4 linked regions of the Pelodiscus sinensis genome follow. The protein of the gene in region 3 binds, or shares a complex with, the protein of the main gene of each other region. Links are inferred from orthologs where the notes say so. Each region holds a gene or a part of one and is shown on either strand. Other genes may lie near its edges.

Region 1 (7,165 bases), about 140 Mb from region 3:
CTGCCACGTGCTTTTGCGAAAGAGATGCTTTTGTGCAAGTGTCTCCATGGCAGTGTGGACACTCTCTTGCATAAGAAAGCTCTGATGGCCATTTTAGCCATAGGGATTTCTTGCACAAGAAATTCATGTTGCCTGTCTACACTGCCTTCTTGTGGAAGAGCTCTTGCACAAGAGGCCTTATTCCTTGTGGAGAGAGGAATAGCTCTTTTGGAAGAAGCCCGGTTTTCCGACACCATACTGTAAATTTACTTGCACAAGAACATGAGTGCAGTGTAGACAGACACTCTGCAACTTTTTGCGCAAAAAGCCTGAAGCGTAGACGTAGCCTCAGGGTATGTCTACACTTGCACCCTCTTTCGAGAGAGGAATGCAAATGAAGACGTTTGAAATTGCCAATGAAGCTGGGATTTAAATATCTCATTTGCACATTCGCGTTATGGCGCTCTTTTGAAATAGCGCTATTTCGAAATAACAGATGCTGTTAAGATGGGTTTTCTCTCAAAATAACTATCTTAACAGCATCTGTTATTTCGAAATAGCGCTATTTTGAAATAGCACCATAACACAAATATGCAAATGAAGCATGGATGTTTAAATCCCAGCTTCATTTGCAATTTCCAATGTCTTCATTTGCATCCCTCTCTCAAAAAAAGGGTACAAGTGTAGACATACCTTTGCCAGGATGTGACACAGTTTAGGGTAACCTGGCCTAAGTTATCACCTCTTAGTTGGACTACAGCAATGCAACACAGATGGATATGAAACCTTAGGAAACCCCAATCGGTACAGAATACTGACTAGCGTTTCCTCAGCGCTGTGTTTATGGCAACCAACATCAGACTTATCCTCCACTCCCTACACTGTTCTAGTGATCTGACTGTATACCAAAGATAAACAATAGTAGGGATGTAAAATCCCATTTAAAATGTTGAACAATTAACTGGCCCAGCCATGCCAGGAACCTGTTAACTAGTTACCCGGTAAGCACTGCCTTACTGGCATGCTTGCCTTTACACCCATAGTCAATAGGTAGATTGGCTACATCTAGACTGGCATGATTTTCCACAAATGCTTTTAACGGAAAACTTTTTGCGGAAAAGTACTTTTTGTGGAAAAGCGTCTATGCCAATCTAGACACGCTATTGCGCAAAAAAGCCCCGATCAGGCAAAAGTCCTTTTGCGCAAAGGGGCCAGTGTAGACAGCTCAGATTTGTTTTGCGCAAAAGAGCCTCGATCACAAAAATGGCAAGCGGGGCTTTTTTGCGCAAAAGCACATCTAGATTGGCACGGACGCTTTTCCGCAAGAACACTGACAATCTCATGTAAGATTGTCAGTGCTTCTGCGGAAATACTATGCTGCTCCCATTTGGGCAAAAGTCTTTTTCTGAAAGACTTTTGCGCAAAAGGGCCAGTGTAGACAGCAGAGATTTCTTTTCCGCAAAAAAGCCCCGATCTCGAAAATGGCGATCGGGGTTTTTTTGCAGAAAAGCGCGTCTAGATTGGCCATGGATGCTTTTCCGCAAAAAGTGCTTTTGCGGAAAAGCATCCTGCCAATCTAGATGCACTTTTCCGAAAATGCTTTTAACGGAAAACTTTTCCGTTAAAAGCATTTCTAGAAAATCATGCCAGTGTAGATGTAGCCTCATTGTGTATCAAATCCACACCAGCAGACACTTTTGAATGGACCACAAAATCTCATTTACTTGTTATTGTTTGTATCAATTTCTCTGGAATCTGGACAGTGGCTATGTTTTGATCAGGACATTTGGACCTTTATGAAAAGTAATCGATTATTCCAGATCTAGATCCAAAAATATTTAAGGGCAGGTCTCCACTACAGAATTACTTTGATACATCTATGTCACTCAGGGGGATGAACCTCTGTGCATCATATTTGTAGCAACCTCAGCACCACTATAGGCAGAGTATGTGAGTAGCTACTGCCTCTTAGGTCACCCCCTCAATTTAGATCATCTTAACTAAATCACTACAGTGGAATCTGTGCTGATCGACCAACCAAAGCTTTAGAATGAAGACTATGGTTAACAACTTCTCTTTTCTGGCACAATCAGAGTAAAGCTCTGTGCAGGAAAGAGATTTCCCAGTCTCTGCAATGTCTATAAATCTATGCAATGAACTTTCACAGTAGCCAAGAGGCATCACAAGACACATCTCCATGGACTTGGCTGTCACTAAACCAAATTCAGGATGTGGTCTGACAGGTGCCTTGCCCCTGGGAGGCTGGGGACAGACTGCCTAAGCAGCAATTTGGCAGAAAAAGACCCGGGGATTGCAGTGGATGAGAAAAAGGCACAATGGTCTCAAGTTACAGTGGGTGAGGTCTAGGTTGGGTATTAGGAAAAACTATTTCACTAGGAGGGCAGTGAAGCCCTGGGATGGGTTCCCTAGGGAGGGGGTGGAATCTCCATCCCTAGAGGTTTTTAAGTCTCAGCTTGACAATGCCCTGGCTGGGATGATTTAGTTGGGATTGGTCCTGCTTTGGGCAGGGGGCTGGACTAGATGACCCGAGGTCTCTTTCAGCGCTGGGACTCTGTGAGCGCAGAGGGCAGCAAGCAGGCGCTGGGCGGGCAGGGCAGGGGGGAGGCAGGAAAAGCCACGCGGGCCGGAAGTCCTGCGGCTGCCCAGAGGGCGGGGGCACACAGGGCAGAGGCAAGAACCGGCGCGCCGCACGCTAGGGCGGCACCGATGGCAGGAGAGGGCGAGGGGCGGGCTGGGGCCTGTCTGGGCCTGGGCGGGGCGGTGTCTCCAGGCCGGCTCCCCGCCGTTAGCGCGCACCGCGCCAGACCGACTGAGACGGAGATTCCGCTGCCAGCGCGCGCATGCGCCTCCAGCCACGGCTAGGCCCTGCGCTCTCCTACCTTTGTCCAGCTCCATAAGGGCGGAGTTAGCATCCAGCTCTTGCTCGCCGTAGCCCGCATCTGCCAGGAAGGACTTAGCGCCGGAGGCCATGGCGGTACCCGCTCCCGCACTAGATCGCAGCACGACCTGTAAACCCACTGCGCAGCTACCTACGTGCCTCAGCCTCAAGTGCAATTGCGCATGCGCGATTGTCCGCACCACTGACCTATTCCCGCTCCCGCCACTACGTCCCGGGACGCATGCGCCCTCACGAGCTGCAATTTAGACTCGTACTCCCCGCCCCCAGGTCTGCTGCCCGTGTACAGTGATCCGCTTCAACCTACCACCTTAACCTCAGCGTCTGTAGCACCTAGCGTGGGGACTAGGGGAGAGGGAAATGGCTGCGGCCTCGGGCCCCGCCCCGGAGCCCCTGCCCAGTGGGAAGTAGTGGGTGTGGCCTCCTGCCCCGCCTACGTTGTCCTGTCCAATGGCAAGCGGGAGTGGAGTTTGGCGGGTAGCGCGAGTGGCGGGAGTAGACGCTCCTCTGTCCGTTTTGTGTCCCGGTCGCTGTGGGAGTCACTGGCCATGCTCTGCCGCTCGCTCCTCCACCGAGCCCGGGACGGGCCGCAGCGTGAGTATCGGGCCGCCCCAACGGGGACCGCGATCGCCTGGCCCGACCCTGCCGACCGCGGGAGCCCTGCCTGCGGTGTGCTGAGCCCGCAACTCCTGGGATCGCCTGCTCGGCTTCGGCCCGGCGCGAGGGGCTGGGTGCCGGGGCCCCGGAGAGGGGAAGGGCAGGCAGGTGCCAGTTCTTTCCCCGACGCATGGCTGTAGCTGTAGTGCGGCCCTGGTGCCTTCTCCGTCCTTGCTTGGCAGCCCCATCGCTGGGGCGCCCCTCTCTTTGAGAGATCACCCCACGGATGAGGCTCTCCAGCCGGGGGAGGTGCTCGCAGCTGTCCGCGATGGTGTGGGGATCGGGTAGACTGGCACGTCTCATGGGACGTTTCTCCCTAGATCGTTGTAGCTAATGGAACAGCAAATGCCCGGTACATGTAGATTCTTCTGTTTAGTGTTCAAACTATGACTAGTACTTTGGCCCCATGACGAAATGGAAAATCCCATCGACGTCCAAAAACCTGGATAAGACCTCTTACTGGAAGAAGTTAGTAGGTCTTATTGCAGCAACTCAAAATGCCTGATAAATGACAAAATACACATATTTTTAGGTTTGTCTTTGCAATATCCCCTGCAACATCTCTTGGATTGCTATGAGTGCAGTCAGCTAGATGACCACTTTTCTTATGGAGAGACGGGAATGCCAGTTCCTCCTTTCGGTTGCACCTTTTCTACAGGTAAGTGTTCTTTTTTAAAATCAAAATGCTATGCTAGAGCCCAAGCTGTCTGCACATAAATATGTACAGACTTTAATACGGCTACGCCCTGAAAGATATTGTAGCCATTTATTTTGAATATTCAGTTTCATAAAGAGCCCTTTATATCAGTGACAAAATAGACTAGACCAGGGCTACTTAACATGTAGCCTGTTTGTGGCCCACGGGTGGGAGCCAAAACAAAAAAGTACTCCATGTATAATGGTCTTCGGTTGATACGTGTTTTAGCAGTTAAATTCCTGGACTGACATTGCTCATTAAAAGTGCTGTCATATGGGTGGAAATTGGGTAAGTATTTCATTTTATTAATATCAGCAGAACTAACTTAAATGGGGCCTGTGTGTTGTGTAATCTTGCCTTAATCTTTGTATTCATGCCCCTCAGTGTGAAAAGCTATTTACATATATTTGGGGCTTCCAAAGTTGAGTAGCTCTGGACTAGACAGTTAATGACACATCTACCAGAGCAACTATTAAGAATAAGCTCTTAGGTCAAAATGTCCCTTGCCATTTTTCAGATATGGATGCTATATTCAAAAATCCATTATTTCTTTAAGGTAAATTGGGTAACACTATGGCTGTGTCTACATTGGCAGCCTTTTCTGGAAAAGGGATGCTAATGAGACACTTTGGAATTGCAGATGCTGCGGGGGATTTAAATATCCCCTGCGGCATTTGCATGAACATGGCTGCCGCTTTTTTCCAGCTCGGGGCTTTGCCGGAGAAAAGCGCCAGTCTAGACAGGATCTTGCGGAAAATAAAGCCTTTTCTGGAAGATCCCTTATTCCTGATTTTAAGAGGAATAAGGGATCTTCCGGAAAAGGCTTTATTTTCTGAAAGATCCCGTCTAGACTGGCGCTTTTCTCCAGCAAAGCCCCGAGCTGGAAAAAAGTGGCAGCCAGAGGCGGATTTAGGGCAGGGCGAGCGGGGCGGCTGCCCTGGGCCCCGCGTTTCCCGAGGCCCCACGCATGCGCCTTGGCACCACGGCGCATGCGCTGTGTCAAAGGGGGGGGGCGCGAAATTTTGCTGCCCGGGGCCCCGCGGAACTCTCATCTGCCCCTGGCGGCAGCCATGTTCATGCAAATGCCATGGGGGATATTTAAATTTGCATTTGCAATTCCGAAGTGTCTCATTAGCATCCCTTTTCTGGAAAAGGGTGCCAATGTAGACACAGCCTATGATTTAATTTGATAAAATAGAACTATGCAGCATGATGGACCATTGGCAGTATTATGGGATTGCTATGCATTTTAATAAAGTGAGTTCAATTAAAGCATTTAAATAAATGTACACACTTTCACAACTTTTGATTTCAGCCTTATTTGAGACAAAGTATGTCTTGTTGTGGCACTAAAACTAGGTCTGTACTAGACCCAGAAGGTCAGCTTAAGGTACTCAATGAAAAAAGTCAAGCTTGGTGCTATCTGCACAGGGAGAGGTTGATGAGAGCTCCCATCAGCTTCCCTTACTCCTTGCAATTACGAGAAGACCTGGTGTCCACTGGGCGGGCACCCTTGGTGTTCGATTTATTGGGTTCTTACTAGACACACTAATGCCAGAAGATCGATCTCCAGCATGGCAAGTGGAGACATGGCCTATGATGTTTGCAAATTTAGGTTGGTCTTTGTTCATAAGTAACTAGGATCAGGAATAGAGTGAGGAGTAGTAAATGGAAACGGATGAGAAGGAAGATGTGCTTCTAAAACCCATGTGCTTCTAAAACACTGGCCGCTTGAATTTGCGCAAGAGCACTGACGTTCTAATGTAAGAATTCAGTGCTTCTTGCGCAAATGCTTTGATGCTCCCGCTCAGGGATAAGCCCTCTTGCGCAAGAATACTTGCACAAGAGGGCCAGTGTAGACAGGCACCTTAATTTTTTGCGCAAGAAAGCCCGATGGCTAAAATGGCCATCTGACCTTTCTTGCGCAAAAGCGCGTCTATACTGGGCACAGACGCTTTTGCGCAAAAGCATCCGTGCCAATCTAGACGCTCTTTTGCGGAAATACTTTTAACGGAAAAGTTTTTCCATTAAAAGTATTTCCGCAAAATCATGCCAGTCTAGATGCAGCCCATGTGTATCACTTTCTTCATGGGTGACAGTTGCTGGCTTGATTGACAGGCCTGGATATTGAAATCCTGATCTGGAGGTAAATCACTGGCATTAGCTGTGCAAGATTTTCCACACTGTCCCTCCTGTCCTGTGTAGGGATGTTAAATTTCAATTGATTAGCTAATTGAATAGTCGATGGGATTTCCATTGTCTATTTGATTAGTCTATAAGAACTTCTGTGTTCCAGCGGGGACTCTTGTACATTTCAAAGTTGGCCACCACTGTGCCCCTGCCCCCTCCCACGGAGATGGAGTGAACCAGCTTGTAAGCCAGTTCCCTCCAGCATCCCTCCTCTTCCACCCCCTTACTGCCTCTTTGTGATAGCAAGGGGGGGAAGCGACTAGTTGACTAGTGTGTTGACTGTCGGATAAACTAATGACTCGTCGATTAGTCGCTTACATCCCTAGCCCTATGCCTAAATCCTGGCCTAAAGGAATTACCAAACTGTAGAGGATAGTTAATTTTTTATATTTATTCAACACTGTGAACAAGGTGATAGAAATGTAGCCATGTTAGTCTGGTGTAGCTGAAACAAAAAACAGGACTGTGTAGTACTTTAAAGACTAACAAGATGGTTTATTAGATGATGAGCTTTCGTGGGCCATACTCACTTCCTCAGATCAAATAGTGGAAGAAAATTGTCACAAATTATACCAAAGGGTACAATTAAAAAAATGAACACATATGAAAAGGACAAATCAAATTTCAGAACAGAAGGAGGATCGGGGGGAGGTAAATGTCTGTGAGCTAATGATATTAGAGGTGATACTTGGGGAAGCTATCTTTGTAATGGGTAAGATAATTAA
Region 2 (7,146 bases), on a different chromosome or scaffold from region 3:
TGCCATACTTACATCATCATTGTAGCCCATGTGCATTCCGCAGTCTAGCATGACATTTTTCCCTGCAATAGACACAAGGATGCAACTCCGGCCCACATCCTGGCCAGCCCCTGGAGCACAAGAAACAAAGACAGCTGCATCACATGTCCATATAACCTCTTAAACCTTTATAAGAATCTATAGATTTGACGCTCTGGGAAAACACTAGCTAGGATGAAGCTCAATACCCCTGTTAAAAAGGCGAGTATCATTTAGGAATGTAAAATCCTGATTAATCAGTTAACCAGCTAAACGAGGTCCCAGCCTCAGGACTGCTAAAGCCACCACCAGTGGCATGAGGCCCCCAAGCCCAAGGCTGCTGCTGCTACCACCACTGGCAGCAGGCGGCTTCTGGCCCCACTGAGGCAGCCCTTCACCCATGGCAGGCTGCAGGCCAGGGGCTGCTCCTGGATACTAGTTAACCAGTACCCAGTAAGCATCACCCAGTAAGATTAACCGGTTACCCATTCAGATCCTTGGTATCATTATCCTCATTTACAAAGGTGGGAAAACCCAGGCTCAGACAGGGAAATGACTTGCCCAGTGGCACACAGTAAATAATTGACAGAGATGGATTAGAAACCTGGATTTCCATCTCCTATAGTCACTCCTCTATGCCATAGTGTCTCACCATTTTGTGAAAGCGCATCTATCCGTTTAGCTCCTGGCTTGTCAGTTTCAGACCAGAAGACACATAACAAAAAGCATTTCTACTGATATATGTAAGGAGATGTCAAACAGTTTCTCACTAAAACTGCTACCATCTTTCAGAATCATCCTCTGTATACAGACTACACACAGAGCCACAGCCCTATAAAATAACAGCAACCATGATTGAATTTGTGTGCTCCATAGGACAAAGTCCCCCACTGAATCTACGGCATTGTTAAAGAATTAATACTTTGCACACACTGTGCTAATATGTATGCAGAAGCTAGAAAACAAGAGGTTCATAGCACATTCCAACTTCAGTAGAAAGAAACATTTTTGGGGTTGGCAGAAAATAGTGTCTGCCAAATTCAAAACAGGAAATAATATTTTGCACTCGTCTAGCTCTTAATCTACAAAGCAGCTTATAAAAATTAATTATTCCTTTCACCATCCAAAAGCAAGGTTAGCAACATGTTTGTGTCTTCATGTTTGCAAAGCAAGATTAAGATCACCTAAAGAAAAAACAAATCTGAATGCAGCATACTAATTACACCAACGTAACATAGTAACATGTAAGTGCAAGTATGAGACTGTAATGAGCTCTTCTATGCTAAAACATAGAACGAAGCTTGAATCTCTTACTATCTGTATTGGAAATATTTCTAACTAATTTTAATTCCTTTAAGGCTCTATCACAGCATCCAAACATTTTCTACTATTCTATCGATTTCAGCTCCATTTTGTGGTTTGAACTTACCCAAGGGGGTGACTTTTATTTCAGGCATTTTAAGTACAGAATAACTTTTTGAACCGTGTATAGCAGGCTACTTCAGAGATGCCATAACTGAAAAAAGGAAAATTCAGCCTGTCTTCAAACTGCTGATCTATTTACTAATATCACACAGAAGAGTTCAGCTGAGGACCCATGGCTTCCTAGAGTGAGGCAAGAATACAGAAAAGAAAAGGGTCAGCTAGCTTGCACATTATAAGAATCATCTAAAACTGCATGCCTGTCTCCAGTATAATTAAGGCTAAGGTTCCACCAAAACATAAGCTGGTTTCCTTGGCAGCATTATTACAGTGTTTTACAGTCACCTACTCCAGGATTGATGGGACCACAGAGACTAAAATAATGTTGATTCAGTTGAAATCAAAACGTTAGGAAAAAAATTAAAAAACAACAAATGGTCTGGCAGCACTTTATAGACTAACAAAACACGTAGATGGGATCATGAGCTTTCGTGGGCACAGCCCACTTCTTCAGATGAACGGATTTATTTGTAATTTTTTGACATTAAAAATGAATGTTTGGATAAAAACTGAAATGCCCTGTCACAACAACATACAACAACCCTTTCCATTTTCAGAATACAACGTTGTGAGATTGTGGTTCCTAAAAATTCTTTCGGAACAAGAATAAATGTTTATTTAAAACACTGTAAACCGTTCAGAGAGGCCAAGAACAGAAAATTACAAAACAAAATGTTCCGGCTGACCTGAAACCAGAGTGGGGTTTGGGTTTTTTTTAGTTATTTTGTGGGAAACATCGAAGAGTGTTGTTTTTATTCAGTCTCACAACACAAAGACTTCATAGGAAGTTCCCCGAAAGCAGAGACCCAGCCCCCACCAAGCTCTAAGGCCTGCCCAGCGAAAGGGGCGTATGCCGGCACTGACTGCAAGGAAAGAGACCCTGCCCGGCACCAGGCCCTCCCCGCAGCCCGGCGCCCCCCCCCCCACAAACCGCCCCCCTCGCGCAGCCCAGGGCCCCCCCTCCACAAACCGCCCCCCTCGCGCAGCCCAGGGCCCCCCCTCCACAAACCGCCCCCCTCGCGCAGCCCGGCGCCCCCCCATCACAAACCGCCCCCCTCGCGCAGCCCAGGGCCCCCCCATCACAAACCGCCCCCCTCGCGCAGCCCAGGGCCCCCCCTCCACAAACCGCCCCCCTCGCGCAGCCCAGGGCCCCCCCATCACAAACCGCCCCCCTCGCGCAGCCCAGGGCCCCCCCACATACCACCCCCCTCGCGCAGCCCGGCGCCCCCCCCATCACAAACCGCCCCCCTCGCGCAGCCCAGGGCCCCCCCACATACCACCCCCCTCGCGCAGCCCGGCGCCCCCCCATCACAAACCGCCCCCCTCGCGCAGCCCAGGGCCCCTCCCCCGCTCGTTCCCAGCCTCACATTACCCTAGGCCCGCGCTCCCCCGGACGCACTGCGCTGACAGCCCGCGCAACGCCCCGCCCCCAGGACTTGGAAAGGGGCGGGACCCGCTCGCCTTCCCCGTGACGCAGGCGCACGGTCTCTCGCCTTCCCAGCGCGCGCCAAGTCAATGACCAGCGGCCGTGTCCTTCCTACCCACCCTCCCGCGATGTGCGATTGGCCAAAGCAAGGCGGAACCAGGAGAGGAAGGCGGTGATTGGCTGGGGTGGCGGAAGGGGCGTGCGCCCATTGGGGGCGGTGCAGGAGTCGGGGAAAGCGGAAGCAGGCGGCTGAGGGGGTCGGCGGCGAGGTACCGGGTTCACCATGGCGGACGGGGCGGACGCGTTCTGCCTGCGGGAAGTGCTGGTGGCGTTCACGGCCTGCCTTGGCGAGCAGCGGGAGGTGCGCGTGGACCCGTACCTCGCGGGCTGGAAGGGCCTGATCAGGTGAGAGGGGGGCGGGGACGCTGACTGGCGCTGGCCACGCCCCTGTTTTTAAAGCCGGCTTGGTGGGGAAAGGGGAGGAGACCGGGTTGGTCGGTGTCAGAGGGAGCCCATTGGCTCGCCCGCGGATCACGTGACAGGCGCGAGCCGCGCCCTTCCCGGAAGTCCTGGGAAGGAACGCAGAGTGGCCAGCGTGGGGCTTGTCTAGCAGGGCTGTGTTCAGGGTTTACTGGGCCCTGTGCAATACTGCTAAGCTAGTGCCCTTATGTCTCCCCGGTGGGGAGCGATGACCATTTTTTAACTGTGATTTTATAATCTTCAGCAACACACTCATATTTTAAACTAATGTCCTGCTGACTCTCAAAGTAAATTTTTAAAAATAGTTCTGTAGCACCCTAGGCTGTGTCTAGACTGCAGGGTTTTTTCGAAAAAAGTAGCCTTTTTTCGAAAAAACGTCACCTGCGTCTAGACTACAGCTGCGTTCTTTCGAAATTAAATCGAAAGAACGCAGCTTTTCTTTCAGTGGTGGTACTTATTTCACGAGGAAGAACGCCTTTTTTCAAAAGTGCTCTTTTGAAAAAAGGCATTCTTGAATGCAAACACGGCTTTTTCGAAAGAGAGCATCCAGACTGCCTGGGTGCTCTCTTTCGAAAAAGCGGCTTGCTTTTTCGAAAGTACTGCTTGCAGTCTAGACTCGCTTTTTCGAAAGAGGCTTTTTCGAAAATATATTTTGAAAAAGCCTCTTTCAAAAGAGGCTTGCAGTCTAGATGTAGACCTAGAGACTAACAGGGTTTTTTTTGTGTGTGCATGCACACGCACACACACACTTTTCTCTGAAACAAATTCAGAAAATGATTGTATATGCCTGAGGCTGGCAAATGGCCTTTAAAATGGCTTCATTACCACTTCAATGGCTCTTTTACAGTTTTTGCGAATAGGTCTGGCAGGCGTTTTCACTTAACCAGATCCTTTCCAGAAGAATCAGAGCCACAGAATAGAGATAGGAAGAGGTGGTGGACATAGCCCCAGTGGTGCCCTAAATTCCTGGCTGCCCTAAGCAGATTCCTCATTTGTATTCTGCACATTGGTAGAATGGCTTGGCTGTCTAAGCTGCTAGTAGGAACAAAGTGACTATTAATATATTCTACATGGTAATATAAACCAAACACTTCTTAACTAACATCTGACTCTGCTAGCTCATTTGGAGGCCTGTTCTATATATTTAGTACATTATAATAAAAATCATCACCACTACCTTATTACACATATTTCATCTTAGATTTAAATTAAATGTGTTCACCAATTCTGGTATGTCCAATAACTTGGTATAACAAAGTCTGATCTAACTCTTAACCACTTAACTAGGGGCATTGTTTCAGTATCATTTCTCAAGCTCCCTTATTCTGTTACCTAACACATGACTGTTTGGGTTTTTTGTTTGTTGGTTTAAAATTTAGGTTTCTGAACACCCTGGGCACAGTTTTTTCCTTCATTTCAAAAGACGCAGTGACCAAAATACAGATCCTAGAGAATTATCGTAATAGTGACCAGCGAGAAAAGTACTTGACTGTTCAATCCATGGTGGAGTATGAGCTGGCTAATGGCCTTGTTGATCTCAAAAAGCGATCTGAGCATCCTGACTCAGGCTGCAGAACCTTCTTGCGCCTCCACCGAGCCCTTCGTTGGCTACAGATGTTCTTGGAAGGACTGAGGACTGGCGAGGAGGACTCCAAAACCTCTGTGATCTGCTCAGAGGCATACAATGCTTCCTTGGCTAACTATCATCCCTGGATTATTCGCAAGGCTGCCACAGTGGCTTTTTATGTCTTACCCACTCGAAATACATTCCTTGAAAACATGAATGTAGGCACAGCTGATGAGGCTGTGGCTATGCTGGGGGATGCTTTGCCCTTTATCTGCAAGGTCTATGATATCACGGAGGAGCTCTATGCTCAACACAAACTGCTTGATCTCCCCTAGCATAGGGGATATTTGAGTAGAGTATTTCAATATTGTAACTACTGGAAGAGTTCACTGTATTTGGGGGAGGGGTTCACTCATGTAAATAAGTGTATTTGCACTAGGGCCTGGATACTCCCTCTTCCCTGCCATCTCCAATATGTCTCTAGTAGAGATCATAACTAATTTGATTGGTACTCTTTGGCCTTCTAAAAGAAAGCTAACTTACTTCTTGGCTCTTCGTTTATTAGCAATTTGGACTAAACATTCCAAAGCCCATATTAGCTTGTTTAAATTGAAGAGACTTATTTCTCTTCTCTGCACTGACCTCCTTTTTGCAAAACTATCAGATCTTTTTTCTTTGCGAAAGCCAGAGCACCCTGCCATGAGTGGTTACTTAATCTTTGTAGCTCCAATGCCTTTAAACAAAAGCAATGAGGAATCCCTCCTTGTCCTACTCACGTGAGACTGCTAAAATTCAGATAAACTAGGATTGGAACCCCTCACTGTGCTATTGTAGAGCCTGTGTACAGACGACACTCATTGACTTCAGTTACTTGTTCTCTGTTGGGGTTAAAAAGATAATGTATATTATAGGGGCTGGTATTTTGGTTTTGATACTCAGTGTAAAGCTGATGCTTTCTCACAAAGAGCAACTGATTTCAGTCCACTTTAATGGCAACTGGTCAACACTTAGGCTTCCCGCTTATCCTCCCAAAAATGTAGTAGTGTTGAGGTGTGGTATTAGGATATGTTCCTTCCCACCCCTTCTTTAGAGATTTTGAGACATGAAGTCCCTTTATTACTCTCTTCCTCTTCCCTACAGTTTTGCTATTTGGCATCATGCTTTTTGGGGTGAGGAATAATCTTTAGAACACAGTACTGAATCACAGAATAATTCAGATCCTTATGGATCTTGAGGCTACTGTTACAGAGACTACCCATAGAGTAGACCTTCAGGAAAGAAAGGGAATGCTGAAAGCCTAGACAAACCCAAGTTCTGCTGACTGGGTGTGGTAATTATAATCTGTGCAATACATAAAAGCATAGTGTTTGCTGAAGCTGAATGCCTTCCAGTCCAAATCAAATCATAAGCTTTAAAAAGAGGGTAAATCTTCATGCATGTGGTCTGTGTACAATTGTTTTAGCAAAAATTCTTAGTATATATGGTGTGTGTGTATATATAGGCTTATACATAGGAAGAGGTACACAATGTGGTTATACAATAATTAATTGTACTTTATCAGATTTTTAAAATGTATCTTTCACAAAAATGTATTAATATTTCAGAAAGGGCACTAATACTACTGCTGTAAAACTATTTCAAGACTACATTTACACCTCACACTGTGCCTCTGTACATTTTATTAACACTTAAAGTAATGTAGATAATAGGAAGCATTTAAATGGCCAATAAGGCTACAGTACTGGAAAACCATATTACCTCATGGGTTTGGGTTAGCTAGCCACACTACTTTCCTTAAAATTACATTAATAACTTGCCTCCAAAGAGTGGTGTACAGGAATGCTTGCCTTTGAAGACGTGTGCTTCCATCTTGTATATTCAGGGGCTATCGAACCCAATAATGAGTAGTTGCTTAATTAACCATTTAGCTAGAGTGCAGAAATGAGACTAAATACATTTTAACAGATTCTAAACTCTCATCTGCAGCATGCACATAGAATATTTCTTAATTCAAGAATCAGGAAAGGAAGGTTTTTTTCCCATTTGATTCCAGGAGGGATGTTTACTCCCAGTGATTAAAATATTTATACCTCTAGTATAGCTCTGAGAAATGATCCATTTTCCTTCTATGCTAAGATTTTAGTTTAGAACCCCTTTAAACTTAAGTTTAAAA
Region 3 (7,962 bases):
CTTGATTTCTCTTGACTACATGGAATTCCCCCCCTTTTTTTCTTTTATGACTTAACTCAGTGTCCTGTATGATGTTAAAATAATGTAAGTTGTAGTATATTAACCTTTTCAATTTATTTCAACAAGATCATAAATTATTATTGCTTAAAGCTCATTAAAAACAGACCAGCAACATATCCCAAATATTGTGTTCTTGGGCTTGTCCAACTGGAAGGTCCAGTTTGCTATTTATTTTTTCTTCAGTTCTCTAAAAATGCAATTACACCCATCCAAAGCTCTTGGTATCTGTCCCATTAATTAAAGATCATAACACATGAACCACAGTTTGTCCACAAATATATCCACCTATGACCTCTTCAACAACCTTAGAGAAGAGAGAAAGAGAAAGGCTTTGAAAAGTATGTGGAAAATTAACACATCTGGGATTTGGCAGATCAAAGCAAGCAGCAAGCTCCAAATCAACAGACTCCTCACAGAGAATGCTCCACCATTTTATTTATGTTGAGTATGAGTGACTCTGCTGACTTGACATGTGGCAGTTTGGCAAGGGAGAGAGACAATCGTGCAGGGAACAAGGCCTCAAGCCATTCAGAGACTTATAGATTAAAATCCAACACTTCAAGTTTTATCCATAAACCAGTGCAGATTGTGCACCAGTGCTCTAAAGTTATGGATCTAAGCTAGTTATAGGCAGTATATATACAATGGAGTTTGCTGTTGGATTTGCCTTTATAATGGTCAGCAGCAGCAGCAAGAGCCTGAATAAAAGCCCATCAAAATCAGAGGTCATCATTCCATTGTCTTCACTGGGCTTTTGAGCAGGTGTCCATTGCTTAGGACTGGTGTGGATTTATTTTTGTCTTGTTCTTCCATATTTAAAACAAATACATGAGGGTCCAGGATGAAATTGCCAAAAAACCTGAATATCCCTTGTGACCTAAGACAAAAACCCAAGAAAAAAGAGCTACATAAGGACAGACAGGGTCAGGCCAAAGGTCCATCTATCCCAGTATCCTGTCTTCTGACAGTGGCCAATGCCAGGTGCCCCAGAGGGAATGGACAGAACAAGTAATAATCAAGGTATCTATACCCTGTTGTTCATTCCCATTTTCCAACAGAGGTTAGGGACACCATTCCTGCTCATCCTGACTAATAACCACTGATGGACCTGTCCTCCACGAATTAATCTAGCTCTTTTTTGAACTCTGTTATGGTCCTCCTCCGGCAAAGAGTTCCACAGGTTGACTGCGCATTGTGTGAAGAAATATTTCCTTTTTATTTGCTTTAAACCTGCTGCCTATTAACTTCATTTGGTCATGCCTAGCTCTTGTGTTATGAAGAGTAAATAGCACTTTCTTATTCGCTTTCTCCATATAAGTCATGATTTTATAGACCTGAATCATATAAACACTTTGTCAAAGGGTGTTGTGAAGGCTATTAGCCAGGATGAGGTCCCTAGCAACTGTTTGTCATAAGCCCCATGGGCAACTGGGAATGGATAACTTGGTTATTCCCTGTTCGGTTCATTTCCTCTATGGTGTCTAGCATTGGCCACTGTCGGAAGACAGGCTACTGTGCTAGATGGAGCTTTGGTCTAGTCTAATATCTGTTTTTATGTAAAAGTCTGCAGGTTTGGTACCTTCATCTACCTCTCCATAAATTCATTTTACAGTGATAAATTAAGCCACAGTGAAGGTAAGTGATTTTCTCCTAGTCACAAAACAAGCCAGAGATGGAGTCAGAACCCACAGGAGTTGCACCCCACAAGTCTGTGTCGTATTATAATACACACTTTGCCTGTGGGAAACTACGGTCATCTGAAGAAGTGGGTTGTGCCCACGAAAGCTCATGATACCATCTACATGTTTTCTTAGTCTATGGCTACATCTAGACTGGCATGATTTTCCACAAATGCTTTTAACGGAAAAGTTTTTCCGTGAAAAGCATTTACGGAAAAGAGCGTCTAGATTGGCACGGACGCTTTTGTGCCAAAGCACTTTTTGCGGAAAAGCATCCATGCCAATCTAGACGCGGTTTCGTGCAAGAAAGCCCCGATCGCCATTTTCGCCATCGGGGCTTTTTTGCACAAAACGATTCTCAGTTGTCTACACTGGCCCTCTTGCACAAAAGCATTTGCGCAAGAGGGTTTTTTCCCCGAATGGGAGCAGCATTGTATTTGCGCAAGAACTCTGACGATCATACCTTAGATCGTCAGTTTTCTTGCGCAAATTCAAGTGGCCAGTGTAGACAGCTGGCAAGTTTTTCCACAAAAGCAATTGCTTTTGCGGAAAAACTTGCCAGTCTAGACGTAGCCTATATGTTTTTCTATATGTTTTGTTAGTCTATAAAGTGCTACCAAACCATTTGTTGTTTTTAAGTTGATCCTGTACAGACGAACTTGGCGACCCCCCTAAGCTTCTGTTTTTCAAAGTAAGCCAAAGTCATCCACCTGTAAAGACTGTATCGCTCCAAGTTAAAAAAAACCCTCAGAATCTGGGTTCACCCATCCTGGGAGTGGCTTAGGGTCTCCAACTTTCAGACGAGGAGCAGCAGCATCTGATGATTTTCAGTGTGGGCCCCCCGACACACACACCCACCCCCCACCTACCCACACACCCACCCCCCTCCTACCTACACACACCCCCTACACACCCCCCCTACCCACACACCCACCCCCCTCCTACCTACACACACCCCCTACACACCCCCCCTACCCACACACACACCCCCACCCTCCCTACCTACACCCCCACCCCCCCCTACCTACACACACCCTACCTACCTCTCGGCAACACCCCCCCTCAAAAGCGTCCCCTTCTCTACCACCAACCCCTTCCTGCCCCTCAGCTTCTCACGTGGAGCCTCGCCGCGCCCGGGCCAGGGGCTGCTCCAGCCCCGCCCACCATGGTCAGGGGGCGCGCCGGCCCGGCCAGAGGAGCCCCGCCCGCAGGAGGACGGTTAACCGGTTAACCGTCGCATCTGAACGGTTGACGTTTGAAACGGGGCTCTACCTCCCGGAGCGCGTGGCCGGCTCCTTGACCCCCGCGCGGCAGGGCCTGGCCCAGTGGGCCCCAAGCCCCCGTCACAGTTGGGGCCTTTGGAGCCTCGCCTCACATACAGAGCACGACGCGCCGCCCCGGGGCCTGCCCCCGCTAAGTGCCTCAGTTTCCCCAGCGGTGGGGGGAGGGCGACCCCACGCTCCACCAAGGCTGAGCCCCCCCTCAAGCTCAGTAGACTCTCTAGGGCCTACTGCGTAGCCATGGCAACCAGGCCTGGCCTGAAGCCCAGAGGCAGGACCCGCCCCCATGCCCGGGACGGGAGCGAGGGGGGACCCTTCAGCCCAGCCCCCCCAAACAGACACTAGCTCCACAGACTCACCAGCTTCATGCTTTACCCGGCCGGCGCTATTTACTGTGACCATCCGCCCCTTTTCCTGCCCAGCCTCCCCCGCGCAGAGCATCATGGGACTCGTAGTCCTCTTGCCGCCGCCCGCCCCTGCCCAGGATGAAGTCATGCCCTGCCACCCCTTCCCCAGGTGCATCCTGGGAGTTGTAGTCCCTTCCTCTCCCCAGCCCCTCTCTCCGTCGGCGCGCCGTTCCGGAAGGGCACGCTGGGAGTTGTAGTCCTCCTGCCTCGGCTCTCCCCTTCACCCAGGGGAGGGGGGAACTACAAGTCCCAGGGCTGCGCAGCGGCGGCAGGTGGGAGCTCGGATGTTGATATCAACATGGCGCTTGCCAGACAGACAAAGACAGTCAGTCTGGTGTGATTGAGCCAAAAAAAAAAAAAAAAAAAAAAAAAAGGAGCAGGGGGGAGGGGGGATTTTCTCTTGGGGGGGGGCCGGAGAGGGGGGATTGGACGCGGAAGGATTTTCACCCCCATTGCTCCCCTCCCTCTGCACCCCCGTTATTGCCCCCCTCACACTGGGGCTGGGGATCCCCCACTTGCGCTCTTCCATGGTGAGGTGGAGAAGGGACCAGCGTCCAGAGGTGAGTGTTGCTGGGCGTGGGGGACCGAGCTGCTTTGGGAGGGGCATGGGAAGGGTCCCCTGAGCTTGAGCTGGGCCTGGCTGGGGGAGTTTAACCCTGGGATGGGGGGGAGCTTCCTTGAGCCCCTGGAGCACAGGCTGCGTGAGGCGGATTTGGGGGTGGCAGGTCCCCTTGCCCTGTGCTGGGTTTGGCGTTGGTGGAGGGGGAGATCCCCTTAGCCTGTGCACATTTTGCTGGGAGAGTTCAGTAGAAGGGATCTGGGTGGCTCCTTGTATCCTTGAAGTGGGGGCAGGGAGGTGTCTCCTAGGCAGGCTTGTTTTTTTGTTGTTTTTTTTTTTTGCTGGGGGAGTTCAACACTGTGGTTCGGTGGCCGTTTTCTTGCTTTCTTTGAAATACAGGCTGCGAGTGAGGTTGATTTTTTGGGGCGAGGAGGGGTAGATGGGTGGGAAAGGGACAGAATCCTTTTAGGTTGGGTTTTGCTGAGGAGTGTACTGCTGGGATGGAAAAGGCTGGTGGCTCCATGTGCGCTAGAAGCACACGATTGTGGGAGAGCAATGGTGTGTTTGGGAAGTGGGACTTGCACCAGGTTAGACTTGCTTCTGGTGGACTTTTTAGGGTTGGTCCTGCTTTGGGCAGGGGACTGGAATTGATGACCTCCTTAGGACTCTTCCAGCCCTGTGAGTCTATGATGGGTGGTGTCTGAAATTTGTGTGACTATGCACATTGCCTGAAATAGGGGACAGGTAAAGGGAAAGAGGACAGGGACAGATTCTGTTGCTGCTTGCAGGGTGTGTTGGGCTATTCTGCAGGCTGTTGTAGTTTTGCAGGGAGTTGAACACAGGACTAGGTGGGTGGGGTGAATTAGGAAAGAAGGAAGGCACCTTGCCCACTGTTGGGACATTATGGTGATGAGTGCACTATTAATACCTAGATTCTATTCTTGAGACACACAATGTGTGTGGCATGACTGACTTAAGGTGAAAGAAGAGGAGGTTGGTGTTTTTCGCGGAGGAATTTTATACTGGCCTATGAGGAGGACAGGGAGGGTACCTTTGAAACAAATAATATGCCTATGAAAGAACTTGGGAGAGGGAGGGTCCTTGTTAAGAGAAGAGACACTGTGTTGGTAGGGTCGGATGAGTGTGGGTGGATGTAGGGGGATGGCACAGTGCTTTTGTGGTTGTATGTCCAAGACACTAGTGATAGCTTACTACCAAAACAAATCTGCTTGATACAGAAGCAAGAGCATGCATCATGAGGAAGAGATAGGTGAGAATCCTAAGGGGATGTTGTAGCTGATGTGTTCAACACTGGAGGGCGGGGTGGGGGGGGATGGAGTGGACATAAGAGGGTGGCTCCTTGAATGTACGGGAGATGAGCATGGATGAGGTTTTTATTTTGGTTTTACTTTTAAAATGAGGCTCAGGTTTTGAGGTGGGGGGAAGGTGTTAAAATAATATTTATATTTTGTATCTGAGACATTGCTTTGAATGCCCGGAAAGTGCCTAAAAAGATGATGGCTGGAGAAGGTGGCAGAGAATTCTGTTAGGCTGTTACATTCTGTTTTTATTTTTTGCTTTGCTGTGGAGTTAAAAAATGAGCAGGATGGGTTTTTTTGAGGTGTAAGTATACATACAGCAAGGTGAACTGAGTTGGGCTCTTGCACCTCAGTTTTGGGTGGTGAGTTTTGGTGTATAGGAAGGAGTGGTTAAAAGTGCCTCTAAATGTGTCTGCAGGGTATTTTCTTTGGAAACAATTTTTGCATTAGCCCTGAAAAATCTTTTGATCATATGTTTATTTCCCCCTCCCCCTTCAAATAGGGGAAGGAAAGAGTGCCTTTTGGGGTTGGAGGGGAAGAGGAAGTATGAAACATATTCCCACTTCCCTGTCTGTGAAGTCCTATCGACTCAGTTTATTCTGGAGCTCAAGTAACACTGGCAACACAGAGAGAAGTGTCTTCAAGTGCTGAATGCATGTGGACTGAAAGTGGAGGATGTTAAATGTAATGGCCCAGGACATTGAGTTGGGAAAAGTAAGTCTGTTAGGTACTGGCTGTGTGCTCTTGGCTCAATAATCAGAGGGACTAGATAGATTGAACTCATAAAGGAGATGCAATTTGCATGAATGATGCCACCCGAAATAAAGTTGTGTTGTATAAACGGCTTGTGCTAGGCAGTCAGCTCATCTTGCTAAAATCCCGGAGCGCCTGTCTGGATCCCGTGATACCACTAGCTCATTTCTGCAGGGCTCATCAGGTGCAGAAGCCTCTCTGCTTCCTTCCTAGGATGGTGCAGCTGGCATCTGATTTCCTCTATGGATGGGAGAGGAGGAGTCCTGTGCGATTGTTTTTTTCCTTTGAGATGATTGCATTTTCCTTGGCCTCACTGTTCCCTGCCTCATTAGTAGAAACTGCATCTATATTTGTTTACCGCAGGCATGCCAATGGGGATGCCTGGAGTAGCGGATAGTGGGTCTATGTGAATTCATCACAATAACATGTTTATTTTTTCCCCTTCCATTGTTGTACAATTATCTTAGGGGACAGTTCTGCAACAGCAGGCTGTAAACTTCATTTGTTTGAGGTTTTTTGACCCTCCTTTGCTGCATTTCTGAGCTAAATCTTTAAGGAAATGATTGGGGACAGGCAGCACATTACATACACATGATTGGAACTTCTTTAGCTTCAGACAGACTTTGTCTTTGGTTATGAAAATTATTTGCCATCTCTCTGTTCTAGGAGTTCTGGAATCTCTGAGGTGGCAGGTTTATACTCCATCTGTCTATAAATTGATGTGCTGCTTGCATTTGGAAACACTGGACATTTTCTCTTATGCAAAGATTCTTCATCTTTAACTCCATATGACATGCACAGACATTTTGTAGGGTTGACACAATTGTTTAGTGGGTAGGGATGTAAAACCTGGTTAATCAGTTAACTGCTTAAACACTAGGTTTAAAAGGTTAACTGATTAAGCACAGGATCCCAGTGGGGGACCGCTCCAGCCTGCCCCCACAACTGCTGCTGCTTGCTCTTGGCCCCCTTTCCCACACAGAGGTACCTACAGGTGGGGGGAGGCTGCTCCCAGATACTGGGTAACTGGTTACCCATTCACATCCCTAGTAGTGGGCAGAGTACAGGACTAAGAACAAGGAATTTGTTTCATCCTGCCAGGCTGGCACCAAATAGGCATCAACATTTTTACTATTATGTCACTTAATGGAGAGCAGAGCAGGTCTGCACAGCTGTAGTGCGTAGCCCACTAGCTGTTTTATAGTAGTGTTACCATGGATGAAACTGCACAGTTTTCAGAAGAACCGTGGGAGGATTTTACAAAAATCCTATATAGACGAAGTTGTCCATCTCTCCCAAAACTGACCAAGTAAATGGCTACGTCTGTTGGATATTTTTAAAGCATCTATCGCTATACAATCTATTATAATTTTGTTAGCTAGGGATGAAATCTCATTGGCTCAGCACTACGAAGAGCATGAGTAACCAGTTGCTGCCTCCACCATGTTATCCCTTGTCTCAATTTCCCTATGTGTAAAATAGGAATGCTTACTAGCTTCCTTCAGAGTTGGGTTATGAGTAAATGTCCGGTGCTTTGAAAGTGGAGTTAGCGTTTTATGAAGTTTTATTTTGTAGAGCTGAGAAGTGACAAAACCATACAATTATGGAGGAACTTGGAGATTCTCTGTCTTCAAATAAGGAACAAGAGAAATGCCAGGGCTTTGTTTTTTCTTTACCCTGAATAAATGCAAAGGTCTGTACTAAAATGTATTTGCTCCATGCCTAATTGTTTGAGGCAGATCTGCTTCCATTGAAGTCCATGGGAGTTGGGCCCTCAGTACGTGATCCCTAGGTAGGGAGAAGGACTCCAGACAGGCAAAAAAATGAATGAATTGTTCAGATACAAGAATTAGTTTAACTTATAACATATTACCTCTCTTTCATAAACAAGTATTTCTGATGACA
Region 4 (7,363 bases), on a different chromosome or scaffold from region 3:
CTCTATCACAGAAGGCAGCGTGGAGTGCCAGATGGGAGCTGGTCTGCAAGGGGTGTGGAGAAATCCCTGTAATATTATCATTCTCATATAACTTTGTATTAAGATCTTGTCCTTTTAGATATATCTGTAAGTGTTCGTACAGAATCTTTGTAACACTTCTCCTATAACTTTGTATTAAGAGAAACTTTCCTTGTAAGAAAAAAAAATGTCTTTTGAGCTCTCCCCTTTCCTTGATTGTCCTGTTGAAATGAATGAGGTGTGAAGGGAGAATTAAAGGTGAGCACCTCCAGCAGCAGTTGCAAGGGTGGAGAAGGTCTGGGAGCCAGATCCAAGACAATACCTGTAAAGTGAGCTCATTAAGAAGACTGGACAGACAGCTACCTTGGGAGTCAAGCAGCATTGCCCGCCCTTGGAAGAACTCTCTTTGAAGCAGCATTAAGAAAGGCAAGATGATGACTAATTGGCTGCATGAGAGGGATAAATAGGAGGCATCTTGGAGAGGACCCTGGGTTTTCATCTTGTCAACATGGGAGCATCGATCTACAGAAGGCCAGCTCCACCCCTCCTCCATCTAACTCACCTGGCCAGTGCAGTTAGGGGGAGCAACTTTTGGTAACAACAAAATGGAATGTGCTTGTGTGAGAGTGCATGAGTTTAATGTATCATATGCATATGATAAATATTGATTGATCTATGTATGTTCAAGAAATGTGGCGTGTTGCCGTATCCCCCTGAAAAAGATTCTGGGTGCTTCTTTTAAGCACAACAGGGGAGCCAGTTTAAAAAACAGCTACCCCCGATAGACCAGCTGCCTATTGCCTTATGCTACTACCTCTGAGACAGAGGCAGCAAAGGGAGGTGGTGGAAATACTAATAGTCAACTAGATTAACCATTAAGACCAGGTTTATCGACTAGTTGGCTACTAGTTCACATCCCTAGTGCAAAGCACATGTTTGTATTAGATTTCCTTTAAGAAGGGAGCAGTGATCTCAAGTCTATTCATTCCTTGTTTTGAGGATTATTTAAATACTGTAGACAAAATCAAAATATAAATGTCAAAAAGTGATCATAATCTTAAACCACAGATTGTTATATATGAGGAGTAAATTTTACTCAAGTTAGAGGTATTCATTTCCTAGCCAAATGTTTGTTGGTCTAACCCTTCAATCCACTGTGTCTGGATTAGATGTGTGATAGAAATGTAGCCGTGTTAGTCTGGGGTAGTTGAAGCAAAATGCAGGAAAATGTAGCACTTTAAAGACTAACAAGATGGTTTATTAGATGATGAGCTTTCGTGGGCCAGACCCACTTCCTCAGATCAAATAGTGGAAGAAAGTAGTCACAACCATATATACCAAAGGATACAATTAAAAAAAATGAACAAATATGAAAAGGACAAATCACATTGCAGAACAGGAGGGGGATGCGGGGGGGGGGGGGGAGGAAGGAAGGTAAGTGTCTGTGAATTGATGATATTAGAGGTAGGGAGAGTGGGATGTTTGTGAGTTAATGGTATTAGAGGTGATAATTGGGGAAACTATCTTGGTAATGGGTGAGATAGTTCAAATGTTTGTTAAGTCCTTGTTGGAAAGTGTCGAATTTTAACATGAATGACAGTTCAGAGGATTCCCTTTCAAGTGCAGATGTAAAAGGTCTTTGTAGCAGAATGCAGGTGGTTAAGTCATTGAGAGAGTGTCCTTTTTGGTTAAAATGGCAAGAAACTGTTTTCTCTTTGTGATCACTCACAAACATCCCACTCTCCCTACCTCTAATATCATCAATTCACAGACACTTACCTTCCTTCCTCCCCCCCCCCCCCCTGCATCCCCTTCCTGTTCTGCAATGTGATTTGTCCTTTTCATATTTGTTCATTTTTTTAAATTGTATCCTTTGGTATATATGGTTGTGACTACTTTCTTCCACTATTTGATCTGAGGAAGTGGGTCTGGCCCACGAAAGCTCATCATCTAATAAACCATCTTGTTAGTCTTTAAAGTGCTACATTGTCCTGCATTTTGGATTAGATGTGAGCTCCTGAAGGGAGCAACTGTGCTGCTTTCTCTCTGTAGAAAACACTTATCACATGGTGATATGCTACCACACATCAAAAACAACAGACCCACAGCACAACTAATGAGAACCTTCCATTATGAGTTACAATAAGGACTTAAACTCCACACTGTCTGCAAAATACAAGTGTACACATCTGCCTGGCAGAATAGAGGAATTATTGGCTGGAAGAGGGAGGAAGGGAACCGCACTGAAGACTGAAGCAAAATAAAGTGACCATTCACAAGGAGTGGTTACCGGGGGTCAGGGAAAGTGTCACATCACAAGGAGATATTAGAATCATGGAATCCTAGGGCTGGGAGAGACCTCAGGAGGGCATCAAGTCCAGCCCCAGGTCCAAAGCAGGACCAACCTCAACTAAATCAACCCAGCCAGGGATCTGTCCAGCTAGGACTTAAAAGCCTCTGGGGATGGAGATTCCACCACCTCCCTAGGGAACCCATTCCAGTGCTTCACCACCCTCCTAGGGAAATAGTTTTTCCAAATATCCACCCTCGGCCTCCCCCACTGTAACTAGTAAGATCAGTGGTTTCCTAGGAGACTGACAGCACAGCAAGCAGAGGAGAGGGAGATGCTCGCCCAGTGATCAGACCCCCGCGTTGCAACAGCGCGACACTGCGCTCCCCAGCGGGGCCCGGGCAAGCAGCGCGCCCAGCCCCCGCGGCCGGCGCCGGCCTCGCGTGGCCCCGCTGAGGCCGGGCAGGGTGGGGAGCCCGGGGGGCTCACGGGCGGGGGGGACGCGGCTGCAGCCCCGGCCCTGTCCGCGCAGCCCTAGGCCCAGCCCGCCCGCGCGCTCCTTACCCCTCGCCGTTGGCCCGGGCGCCCGGCGGGTGACGCTGCGGCGCAGAGCCCGGCCGAGCCGCAGGAAGCCCCGGAGGCGCCGCGGCGGCAGCGTGCGGAGGAAGAGGCGGAGCCGGGGAGGAAGCGGCGGAGCTGAGGCGGGGGTAAGCGGCGTGGGGGGCCTGTAGGGCCGCGGAGCCGGGCCCGGGGATGCCGGGGCCTGGAGCGGGGCGAAGCCTCCCCGAGACTCGGGGACGGGCGGGCGCTGGGGATGCGCGGTGGCTGGGCACAGGGCCCCCGCGATGAGGCAGCTGCTGGGGAAGCGGGGTGAACTCGGGGCACCCCAGGAACTGGCAGCTGCGGAGGCCGCGAGGTGATCTCCGGGGCACAGAGACCGCAGCGTGGGGCAGGTGCTGAGGTTATGAGGTGCAAGCTTAGGTCAGAGGGGCTGAAGCGTGGGGCAGGTGCTGAGGATGTGGGGTGTACCCCTTGGGCACAGGGGCAGCAGGGCAGGTGCGTTGGATGTGGGGTAAAGACCTTTGTGAGGGACAGTTCCTGAGCTCTCTGTTATTGGGGGGGGGGGAGTCACTCACCTCAGGCCCCTGAGGCATTCCCCCCTCAATTTCTCATTTACTTTCCCATGGGTTTTGCTAGTGTAGGTGTGGGGAGCTATCCTCCACTTTGTGGGAGAATGACGGGCACCCTCTGTATTACACAGCTAATACCACAGCCCCCCACTCTGCAAAGCAGAGACCTTTGTCCATGCTGTGAATGTAACAGCCCCCATCAAGGTATTTCAGCAGAGTTTTAATCCCTGATCTTAAGCACTGCAACACAGATCACCATTATGGGAGATAATGGAGACTCTCCACTACTGGGTAGTCAGTTACCTTCTATTAAACAAGGGGAGGATATATAGAAGATAGGGACACGCTCCTTGCCATAATAGTTAAGTGATCCAGACATGTTCGTAAATAGCATTCAGTGCAGACTTATTAGCAGTGAACAAAGAGGGAAATCACAATTGGTTTATGAACCAAATAAAAGGGTGTCATTTAGATGACAATTGTTTGCAATTACATTTGGAAAAAAGGAAGATCTTTGGGAACATAGGCATCTGCCGTAATGGATCAGACCAGTGGCTTTCTAGTTCAGTTTGCTGTCTCTTAGAGTGGCCAGGGCCCTATGCATTGGAGCAAAAGGCAATAAATCCAAAACAGAATAAATATCCTGCCTATGGGTGTTCTCCAAACCACCATGAGATACTGGTTGTGCCATGATGCATCTATTTCTTATGAACTTTCTAATGTAACTGGATGTTTTCATCCTTATAAAAATTCAGTTATTTTTTTTAAATCCCTGCTAAGATCTTGGTATCAATAGTATCTAGTAGCAAAGAATCTGACTAGTTATACCTTGGGTACTTTTAAAATTGCTGGTTTTCAGATTATTTCAAAAGCTTCAGAGGGGTAGCCAACTTAGTCTGTTTATTTCATTGTTCGCTTGTTTTCTTTTTATCAATAGGATTAGGATGGATTCTCAATGCACCTTTTTTATACCTTTAATCTGTATACCTCTATCTGGTTTCCTTTCTAAAATAAACAGCCCCAATACTTTTAGTCTCGCTTCATGTAAAAAATATTTTCCATTTAGTTGGTCGTTCCTGTGAGTTTTTTCTGAATGAGGGTTCACTGAAAATTTTACATGGAAACTTTTTGATAGCAAGCTGACATAAATGGAATATAAACTAGATATCCTGCATCTGATGCCTTAATACCACAGCTATTATTTTTGCTGTGCTACATATTTATTGGAATAACCATTACATTTATCAGTAACGTGCAGTAACACATGCTACATGAAAAGAAACATTGTCAAATGTCCAGAGTTGTATTTTTCTATAATACAACAAACAAAACCTTTTACAGCAGTAGTCTCCAACCTTTTAAAGCAGTGGTCCCCAACACGGTGCCCGCGGGCGCCATGATGCCTGCGGGGGCATTTGTGTGCGTCTGCCAAATGCTCGGGGCTGGCCTGGCCCTGGGCACGTGGCGCATGCATGGTGCCGGAGCCGGCCCTGAGCGCATGGTGAGCGCCGGCCCTGGGAGCGCTGTGGATTGGCCGCCCGTGCTCTGGGCGCGCAGTGCTGGGGGGGGCGCCAGCCCTGGGCGCACGGCGCTTGGGGGGGGCGCGTGGCGCTTGGGGTGAACGACCATGCCCCCTGGCGCCTGGCAACCTCAAATGGTTGGGGACCACTGTTTTAAAGTATGAGATCACTTTTTGAATTTAAGTGCAATCCTAAATACCTTTGCCCCGCCTCCTTCGTGGCCCTGCCCCTGCTCACCTCACCCTTCCTTCCTCCCCCATCCTTTCGCCTTTTCATCAGGCAGGGGCAGCTGGTCTTGGGCTAAGGGATTTGGAGTGAGAAGGGCTCTGATCCTGGGGCAGGGGTTGGGGTACAGGAAGGGGTTCAGGGTAAGGGTCTGTAAGGGAATTTGGGTCTGGGGATGCTCAGGGCTAGGGCAGGGACTTGGGGTACAGTACAGGGTAAAATACTGGAACAGGGATTCAGAATGCAGGTTCCAGCTGGACACTGCTTACCACAGGTGGCTCCTGGATAATGGTGCAGTGGGGCTAAGGCAGGCTCACCCCTGCACCGTCCCTGCACCACTCTCCAAAGCAGCCAGCAAACTTCCTCCATCCCAAACCTTGTTGTGCCCCCACCCCTGTTCTGTGAAGATAGAATACAGCAGTGGTCCCCAACATTTTGGGGCTGCTGCGTGTCCGGGGGCGGGGCCGCTCACGTTCCATGCACAAGGGGCAGGGCTGTGTATGTGCCGCGCACCAGGGGCCAGCACCAGCATGTGCCACTCACCCGGGGTAGGAGCTGCCCATGCACCAGGCGCCTGGGGCCGGCACCACACATGTGCCATGTGTCTGTGGCAGAGGCTACCCATGCGCCAGGAGCCAGCCCTGGCATGTGCCGTGCGCCCGGAGGCAGGGCCGGCTCAGATTGTTCCGTGGGCACCGCATTGGGGACCACTGGAATACAGGGTGGGTGAGGGGAACAGCTCCAAGGCAAAGGGCAGGAGATGCACAGCAGTGGTGGGAGGGGCAGCTGAAGTGCTGCACTTGATAGCCTCTTGGTCAAACCAGTCAAGATCACCTGTCAGAGGCTCCAAGATCTGATCTTCTAGTTGGTGACACTGTTTTACAGAAACTAAGCACAATAGAAATGTTTTCATTTTTTGTTTGTATTTTTCTGGAAGCATTTGTTTTTAAACAAATAAGTTCTCTGTAGTGTAATCCAAATGTGTAGCATACTGAAACAGACATAATTGATATTGAGCCCATGTTGGAGAAATTTTAAGAAGTAAACAGCACAATTAGTTTAAATGAATTGGATTTTTAACATTCTTTTAGTTCTAACCAGCTAAGCTACCCTTAGTTCCATATTGTAAACAAACACATTTATTTACCTATCTGCTCTTTAAGATGTGCAGTAGAGCTGATGCTGTTAATTGTATTGCAGCAGAGGCACTAGCTACAGACCCTAAGTGAGGCTAAGTTGGCCCCTCTGCTGCCAGTGGCTGTGGGCCCACTCTGGCAGCAGCAGAGGGGCTGGCATTGACCAAGGAATGACGGGGGGCAGGGCACAAGTGCGAAGAGGCAAGGTGGCTGCAGAGCTCTGTGGCTAGGGGCCAGGAGTGCAGCCCTCCGGGAGCACATCAAATTCTGTGGCTAGCAGTCTGGAGGTCAGACTGGTGTCTGTGGGGGTTCTCCCTCCCATTGGGCTGTATTCCTGGACCTGGCTGTAGAGCTCCAGAGCTACCCTGCCTCTTCCCCCGTGTACCTCCTCTCTCCTGCCTCTTCTCCTTGTCCTTCCCTCCCTAAGCTTAAATGCTGCAAATGAGAGGGAGAAGAGCTGCTGAGCTCATGACCCCCAGCTTTTCCCCATAAGTGTTACAATCTGAGAACACCAACAGGGATGCCTGACCACAAATGTTGTTGGATGAGGGAAATCTAGATTATAGAGGTCCAATCTATAGAATAGAGTAAGTGGCAATCTCTGTCCCAAAGATTTTCTCTCTCTGGGTGGGTATGTCTAGACTACATGCCTCTGTCAGCAGAGGCATATAGAATAGGCTACCCGACATAGTCAGTGAAGTAGGGATTTTAATATCGTCGGCACAGCGTGGCAGTCAAGATATGGATCAGTTGACGGGAAGCCTTTGTCAACTGCTCCTGTAAACCTCGTTTCATGAGGCATAAGGGAATGGTTGACAAAGGTTTCCCCTGTCGACCGATCCGCATCTTGACTGCTGCGCTGTGCTGACAATCAGCTAATCCGGCACAGTGCGGCGGCCATTTTCATTTTTATAAAGCTGGGGATATTTAACTCCCCGCTTCATTGACTGTGTCGGGTAGCTTATTTTACATGCCTCTGCCGACAGGCATGTAGTCTAGACATAACAGCTGCGTCTAGATTGGCATGATTTTCCAGAAATGCTT

The links.
Region 1: INTS9 (region 3) and INTS7 share a complex: the UniProt entries of both Homo sapiens proteins name them as parts of the integrator complex. The link is inferred for Pelodiscus sinensis from reciprocal best matches to the Homo sapiens genes INTS9 and INTS7.
Region 2: the proteins of INTS9 (region 3) and INTS11 are in contact, whole or in part, in a cryo-EM structure (PDB 8RC4), measured with the Homo sapiens proteins. The link is inferred for Pelodiscus sinensis from reciprocal best matches to the Homo sapiens genes INTS9 and INTS11. Residues at the interface, in NP_060720.2 of Homo sapiens: Glu127, Gly198, Tyr199, Ser200, Gln201, Lys202, Tyr231, Glu338, Phe339, Ile342, Phe343, Glu345, Gln352, Lys354, Val355, Tyr356, Leu357, Pro358, Glu359, Pro360, Pro361, Arg511, Arg512, Tyr513, Glu514, Lys515, Ile516, Glu517, Ile518, Met519; in NP_060341.2 of Homo sapiens: His94, Gln97, Ala98, His137, Leu138, His139, Gln140, Thr141, Lys274, His277, Tyr278, Lys280, Leu281, Phe282, Ile283, Pro284, Trp285, Arg291, Phe294, Ser449, Pro450, Ser451, Ile452, Pro453, Val454, Gly455, Ile456, Ser457, Leu458, Leu461.
Region 4: INTS9 (region 3) and INTS12 share a complex: the UniProt entries of both Homo sapiens proteins name them as parts of the integrator complex. The link is inferred for Pelodiscus sinensis from reciprocal best matches to the Homo sapiens genes INTS9 and INTS12.

Annotation. Positions count from the first base shown.
Region 1 is NC_134713.1:146,927,046-146,934,210, forward strand, and holds the start of INTS7 (integrator complex subunit 7), read right to left. Parts: upstream 3,014-7,165; 5' UTR 2,971-3,013; coding exon 2,880-2,970; intron 1-2,879. Other genes in the region: DTL (denticleless protein homolog), read left to right, coding at 3,445-3,490, 4,086-4,211. UniProt on the Homo sapiens protein: Component of the integrator complex, a multiprotein complex that terminates RNA polymerase II (Pol II) transcription in the promoter-proximal region of genes.
Region 2 is NC_134733.1:16,677,642-16,684,787, forward strand, and holds the start of INTS11 (integrator complex subunit 11), read right to left. Parts: upstream 3,010-7,146; 5' UTR 2,873-3,009; intron 1,624-2,872; 5' UTR 1,476-1,623; coding exon 1,448-1,475; intron 111-1,447; coding exon 13-110; intron 1-12. Other genes in the region: CPTP (ceramide-1-phosphate transfer protein), read left to right, coding at 3,210-3,331, 4,786-5,308.
Region 3 is NC_134713.1:4,736,352-4,744,313, reverse strand, and holds the start of INTS9 (integrator complex subunit 9), read right to left. Parts: upstream 3,006-7,962; 5' UTR 2,907-3,005; coding exon 2,856-2,906; intron 2,854-2,855; exon of another isoform or gene 2,831-2,853; intron 2,808-2,830; exon of another isoform or gene 2,783-2,807; intron 1-2,782. UniProt on the Homo sapiens protein: Component of the integrator complex, a multiprotein complex that terminates RNA polymerase II (Pol II) transcription in the promoter-proximal region of genes.
Region 4 is NC_134715.1:26,900,095-26,907,457, forward strand, and holds the start of INTS12 (integrator complex subunit 12), read right to left. Parts: upstream 3,006-7,363; 5' UTR 2,873-3,005; intron 1-2,872. UniProt on the Homo sapiens protein: Component of the integrator complex, a multiprotein complex that terminates RNA polymerase II (Pol II) transcription in the promoter-proximal region of genes.